Linked DNA regions of Kluyveromyces lactis. The protein of the gene in region 1 binds, or shares a complex with, the protein of each later gene. Links are inferred from orthologs where the notes say so. Each region holds a gene or a part of one and is shown on either strand. Other genes may lie near its edges. The genes, in order: FYV10 and GID8.

The links.
Region 2: the proteins of FYV10 (region 1) and GID8 are in contact, whole or in part, in a cryo-EM structure (PDB 7NS3), measured with the Saccharomyces cerevisiae proteins. The link is inferred for Kluyveromyces lactis from reciprocal best matches to the Saccharomyces cerevisiae genes FYV10 and GID8. Residues at the interface, in NP_012169.1 of Saccharomyces cerevisiae: Tyr243, Ile247, Phe250, Gln251, Phe262, Leu265, Lys266, Ser269, Gly270, Leu272, Ile273, Phe274, Lys276, Tyr277, Gln310, His314, Lys315, Ser316, Leu317, Pro318, Phe344, Arg346, Tyr347; in NP_013854.1 of Saccharomyces cerevisiae: Asn220, Leu224, Ile227, Ser230, Gln231, Ala235, Ala238, Ser239, Met245, Gln246, Leu248, Glu249, Leu250, Met252, Thr253, Leu256, Lys272, Leu274, Met357, Ala366, Asn367, Ser368, Val369, Trp370, Leu371.

The regions. Positions count from the first base shown.
Region 1 is NC_006041.1:764,363-768,073, reverse strand, and holds FYV10 (glucose-induced degradation complex subunit FYV10), read left to right. Parts: upstream 1-1,669; coding exon 1,670-3,076; downstream 3,077-3,711. Other genes in the region: AVT7 (Avt7p), read left to right, coding at 1-1,196; BMT5 (25S rRNA (uracil2634-N3)-methyltransferase), read right to left, coding at 3,101-3,711. UniProt on the Saccharomyces cerevisiae protein: Component of the GID E3 ligase complex recruiting N termini and catalyzing ubiquitination of proteins targeted for degradation.
Region 2 is NC_006042.1:1,569,682-1,572,885, forward strand, and holds GID8 (glucose-induced degradation complex subunit GID8), read left to right. Parts: upstream 1-1,608; coding exon 1,609-2,670; downstream 2,671-3,204. Other genes in the region: GAT2 (Gat2p), read right to left, coding at 1-686; ERG29 (Erg29p), read right to left, coding at 2,760-3,204. UniProt on the Saccharomyces cerevisiae protein: Component of the GID E3 ligase complex recruiting N termini and catalyzing ubiquitination of proteins targeted for degradation.

The DNA.
Region 1 (3,711 bases):
TGTTAAATCCACGTCACTCTTCTTTTTTCACTTTATGTTCTATTACATATCCTAATCTGTCTTTGCTGTTTGATTTTGCTATGTTCATACAATGTTTTGGGGTTGCTCTTTCTTATTTGATCTTAATTGGTGACTTATTCCCAGCGTTATTTGGCGGCACGAGGACAAACTGGATATTGTTGTCAGCAATCATTATCGTTCCGTTATCTTTATTAAGACATTTTGATAGCTTGAAATATACTAGTGTTATTGGTCTGTTGGCATTGGGTTACATTGGTTTATTGATTATTGGAAGCTATTCCTTCGGAAATTACCCAAAACCCAAAGTTGATTGGTTCTCTATATCGGATAGATCTGGAGTCTTGACGACATTTAGTATTATTGTATTTGCATTTACTGGTTCAATGAATCTATTTTCGATAATAAATGAATTGAAGGAAAATTCAATGACAAATATCAAAAAGATCATAAACAATTCCATCGTAGTATCATCCGCCTGTTTCATAATCTTGGGGCTGTTCGGATATTTGACTTTCGGAAAAGAAACTCTGGGAAATGTCATACTAAACTATGATGCTGATAAGCTCTCTGTCAGATTTGCTAGGTTCAATCTTGGCCTGATGGTTGTTTTGTCATTTCCCTTGTTGTTCCATCCTTGCCGTATATCGGCGAACAATATGGTCCATTGGTTACAATTGAACTATGGAACAAAGTCTGAAATAGATGAAACGATAGGGCCTATTACCCTGGAAATTGAGGATGATACTGATAGAGAATACCTCGAACAAGAGCTAGGCTCCTCCCATGACACTTCATTTGTCCACACGTACCAATCACTACCGAGGGCAACCGACGATGATAATGATGATCAGGTTGATGAACGCACTGAAGCAGTCCCATTCCCTGATTCCAGATTTTTGACTGTCACTTTCTTCTTACTTGCTGTACTATACGTTCTAGCGCTAAACGTTGAGTCATTCGCTTTAGTTCTTGCACTTGTTGGTGCAACTGGTTCTACAGCCATTTCATTCACGTTGCCAGGATTATTTGGGTGGAAGTTAATTGGTACTGAATCTTTGATGAACGGTGAGAGAATCGGAGGATGGGATAAAGCTCACAGATATGGAAGTCTGGCATTAGTCTGGTACGGTCTTATTATTATGGTAAGTTGTGTGTATATCACACTTTTTGTATGACCAGTTCAGCATCTCGCAGTTAAATCATTCAATGGTTCCAATCATTCTTTCTTGGCTAGATTATGAGCAAGGAGCTTTCTAAATAAAATTATTAAAATGTAATATATTCTGTCCTCGTCTGTTTGATGCTTTCTGGGTCTTAAACTTTAGGCGCAACACTTAGCCATTGGTATTTATCTTTTCACTAACAGTGTATAAACAAACGTCTGTAATGTTTCGCCTGATATTCCTACCCTCCAGTTGGTACTGCATCAACTCGACTTTAGCAATTTTTTTTTTCCAGCGTACCGGTTGATGTATTTCATTCATGGTAACTATATCTTTGTATTTCTGCATCAAATTGCATAAGAAAATTGAAAGGGGTTTTCACAATATACCTTAATCTTTAGGGATGAACCAAATAACTGACAAACTGGATCAATCAGTGTAATACTGGTGACGGTAAATCTACCAAAAAGCCTTTAGATGTCATTATGACTTCGTTAAACGAACCTAATGTCGATTTTCACCTAAAATTAAACCAGCAGCAGTTTAACATTCCTTCCGAATTGTTAAAGCGAAACTGGGATAAATTCAACAACCTATATACAAGCTATTCAGTAGAGCTACAGGGACAATTCGCTACTTTGAACACTTTACTTGAAGATCCAAATAAGGATGAGCAATCAATAGAAAAATTGAATGATATAATCAACACAGTGAACATTTTGCAGAAGAGACTATCGCAACTACATGATAATGAGTTAACAATTTTAGAAAGGATTGAGAAGAGAGTAGAATACTTCAAGCAGTTTGAAAGATTCAAATATGATTCTAACACTGACAAGCTTCTAAAATGGTACAGGTCATACACGGATTTGTTAATTGCCGATTATTTGGTAAGGCATGGTTCGAATTCTATAGATCATAAAAACAAGATTGCATCAAACTCTGGCATAGAGTTTATAAAGACTAGGGGATTAGAGGATTTGATTGATTACGAAGTTCTCATAGAAGCTAATCAGATATCTATGGAACTTATAGAAAATAAAAACCTTCGTCCTCTATTAGAGTGGATTGAAAATAACTCTGCGCACTTGACAGAAAAAGGTTCGCATTTACAGTTCCAAGCGTTATTGCAGGAGTACATTGAATTAGTACGATGTTCCGATTATAAAGCAGCAATCAGGTGCTTCCAAACACACCTTGCCCATTTCGCAAATATATATCCCAAAGAACTAAAACTGGCAGCGGGTATTCTTGCTTTCTTCAAAAGCTGCCTCAACAATGGTCGTGACGACGAAGTAACAAACGAACAAAAGTTGTTTCATGCCTATTTTAGAAAACAAATGTATCGACCACATCCGTTGTCATCAATTTCTTCTAGTAACGTTGTTCACAATGCTGAATTATGTCGATATGGTCCATTATTGGACCACGAGAGATGGGAAAGTTTGAATAAAATGTTCCTACATGAATTTTACTCACTCTACAAAATATCTTACCACGATCCACTATTAATATATATATCCTTAGGAATCTCTTCGTTAAAAACAAAGGATTGTGGTCACACCATTTCCGCGCAACTAATCCCTCATGAAAATCCGGAAGTAAATGAATACATTAAATCTAACGTTGTCAATACAGATTGTCCCGTATGCAATCATGACATATTCCCTCTATCTGAAAACTTACCATTTGCCCATCATATCCAATCGAGTTTATTTGAAAATCCAGTAATGTTGCCAAATGGCAATATTTACGACTCTGAAAAGCTAATATCATTATCTCGAAAACTAAACAAAATGGGGTACACTAAACTTAAAGAAAACCAAGTGATGGACCCTATTGATAAATCAATATATGCTACAACAGACTTTATCAAAATGTATCCTACTTAGATATAATAGAGAATATGTATTTTCTTATTCATCATCGCTGTCGTCTTTCAAAGGTTTTTTGGAATGTTTACGTTTATTGAACATTTCGAAAACGTACATTCTGGCATCTCTTTCCTCAGCTGGTTTGGTAGTATCCATTTCACTATTGGTACGCTTGTGATGATACCCTGGAAACTTGGACCAGTCGAATTTCCCTGATCTATCCACTTTCCAACCGTTATCTTTCGCTAGTATTTTTATTTGCCATGAATCGTATGGTTCGCCACTAAATAGAGAAAGAACCACTTTTCCATAACCTTCATCATCAACTCGAGTTTCATTATTTAGTGAGTATCCACCCATAGAAATGCTTGAGTTTAACATAATCTGGCTACTGTTTACGAGTCTGAACAGCTGCTTACAACTATCAAAGTATTTGTACACCAATTGTTGATGTTCGTGAATATTTCTGCCTTGATCTTTTATTCCACGACCTGTATGTGGAAAATTGAATAAGATGAAATCCAGTTTCTTTGTAGTCCATGAATTCCCCACTACTTTCTGCCATGGAGTCTTTTTCGTGATCTTCAAAGATTTTTTTAAGTTTGTTGCATCGATCCCGAACAGCATGACGACTTCATTCTCTTTAAGGAAAT
Region 2 (3,204 bases), on another chromosome or scaffold:
TTTCTTACTGTGACGTTGAAAACATTTTTACTCCTGGGTCTCATTGGGAATTGAAACTCTGTCATTGGCTTTTGTAGCTCGTTTCTAAGCTGATTAATACTAGGGAGTTGCGGTTTTTTCCTGTTCCAATCGTTCATGTTCTTCAACTCTAACAACCTATTCGTAACCTTTAACATAGATCTTGTTTCGTTGGAAAGTTGGGTGAGATCATTGACCAAAACATCCTTAATCTTCTGGGAACTCCATGTCAGCAAATGAAATGTCAACTGTTCATTGTACTCTGATAGTCTTTTCAAAATCCGTTTGAATTCTTCTTGATTCATATCCTGGTCGATCGCAGTGTCAGCCAAAAAATCAAGGGATCCACTTCTATAGTGACCACCGTAATGGTAGTCCCTTTGACGAGGACTAATTTGCGGTGACGAATTTGACGACGAAAGAAAATTTCCTGTCGTTGAAACGGTAATGTTTGTTTGTGACGTCTTGTTTGTCCGAATACTCGAATCGTTCTGCCTGTCGTAGTTCAATAGATTTGGGATGGAAGCAACACTATGGTAGCTGACACTTTGGGATAATGATTGAGGTGTTCTCGATGTAGGAGTTGCAGATGATGAAATAGAACCAGATTTGGGACTTTGGGACCCCTTTTGTGCCAGCGACGCTGTCATAGTTTCCATGAATGTCATAATAACAATTATACTGACTAGCCGTATGTCTATTTATGTGTATGTGTGATAAGCAATGTTGAACGAATATATTATTCAAAATGATATCGACTGTGTCTTGGCAAAAAAATTTGGTTTGGCTCTGTGGTTCTATTTTGTTATTTCAATTGAATGATAATGAGATTGCAATCTAACGAGTTACCTCTCTGTTAGTTTCGAATCTACTCTTGGCCTTAAATACCTGGCTTATTTGATGTTCGAAGAACTCGGAAAAGTACGCATATATTTATATCATTTCATTTTTGTATAGATCATTTCAGTTCCTTAATTTGATTTGACACTTTTTTGTCATCAGAATCTAAGTAAGTTTCAATTTAGAATATAGAAACGGCTTGGATTGCCTCCTCCATTTCATTATTGATCCTAAACCAATGAATATTGAAACTGTAAAGTTTTTAAATCTGTGTTATGCCCTCGATATGTCTACTGTTTTGTATATTACTACGTAAAATGTCGACTATAGCTGCTATGAGTGACATCTCATGAATCGTTTCCCTCTACTTGAAAGATACAAAAAAAAGAGTCCAGATTCAAGAAGATTTAAATTGAGAAGTTTCTCGATTACTGTTATCTGAAGCTACAAACCACGATTTGATATCTACATGAACTCCTTTTCTTTTCAGAATTGATCTGTCCCATTTCCTCGTCGTCAGAGGCCTGTTCCCTTATTTATTCACAAAGGTTTTTCACGAAATGAACCTTAACATCACTTAGTAAAGAAACTGGGCATTATCAACAGAAAAACAAAAAAATGAGCACCTAATTGTAAGTTGAAAGTGAGACTTCCTTAGCCCCTAATATTGAAAGAAAGAGTGGTACTATACTATTTGCGCTAAGCATAAGCCAATCTAGTTTTCCCTAGACTTATTGCTTCATACAAACGATGACCAATTTTAAATCTACCTATGAGAAGAAATCTTTCACTAGAGAACAATGGATGAAAGTGGTGCAGGACGCCAATCCCTATGATCGCAGCAACAGTGAGTTGTCGAATAATGAGCCGGTAATACCAATGTTATTATTGAACTATTTTGTGGTGATGGCATATGAGGAATCTAGTATCCGCATGGCTAAGGAGCTTGGGTTTTTGAATTCCAACAAAGACATTGAAGAATTCAACTCTGTATATATGATTAAGAAAAGGGCATACATCAAGGAACTTATCAAGAAGGGTGAAATTTTACTAGCTATGGAAAAGATTACCGAGGTATTTGGAATAGAGGTACTCGAAAGTTTGAATGACCATATTACAGATGAAGATTTGAACTTCAAGCTATTGTTGTTGAACCTTATTGAAATGATTCGTTCCCACAACGCCAAGGGCGACCCTAACGATCAGGAGCAGTTTATATTAGAGCTTATCTCTTATGCTCAGGATAAACTTGCTTTGAAAGCAAGCTCCAAAAAAGAGTATATGAAGGAAGTCGAATTAGTTATGACCCTTCTTCTCTTCCCGTTATCGGATGAGGATGGTTCGAGTCCTTCTGCTAAGTTACCAAAGAAGTTGAAACAGCTATATTCCTTAAATATGAGAACTAAAGTAGCTGATCTAGTGAACAGAAAGCTTTTGCAATCGATATTACCGAGGATAAACTCTCAACTCGAAAAATCTGGTTTACCTGACATCTTAGGATCCAGCTTCCAATCAAATCGAGTTCCCACTCTAACAAACGTTATACGATCCATTCCAAGGGAATCTATCACGACAGAAAGGCTTACCGGAGAGCTAGCACATATTGAAGAAAAGCAGGGAAGTTCTATGAGCACCAATTCCGACATGAGTCGCATACAAGGTGAAATCTTTGAAGAGTTAGGTGAGAACTTGCATTCTTATTATATCCCTAACGACGTTAGATTGGTACAAATCATGAAACTTTGGGTTTGGTGTGAAAACCAATTGCATAGTTCGGATGTTGGTGTTCCGAGGGTTGAAGGAGTGATTTAGTGCAAAATCTATAATCTTTTATACTATATATGCATGGGTTCCCTATATTCACATTATGTTTTCAAGCATTTAACGGCAGCTTGCAATTTTCACACCAAAAACTCACAGTCTATAGTGTCACCAGTTTCCATCTTTAAGAAACACAATTGAATATCGTCGAGGTTTTTTGGAAGTTCCTCGCTCATGGTGTTGTAGATTTTTACATTTTTGGTAATGGTGAAGGTTTTGCTTGGCTGTTTGAACTGATCATAAAAGTGACCATCTTTAAAGAAGTGATAAAGTTTTGATTTTAATAGCCTTAATGTACAACCAAACTCTGGTCTTTTTTCATTTTCGAATTCTTCTGGTGAGAATTCAATGTGGAATGTGATTGGATTATCCAACAGAAGCTTTTTGGTATCTTCGTCGATAACTTGGCATCTAACGTATATGTGAGCGACATGCACAGGTTTGGCAAAGAACTTTTCCCTCGATTCGAACTCCTCGATTATGAGACCGGATTTTTCATCAAACCATTCTGTGGCATGGTACGAA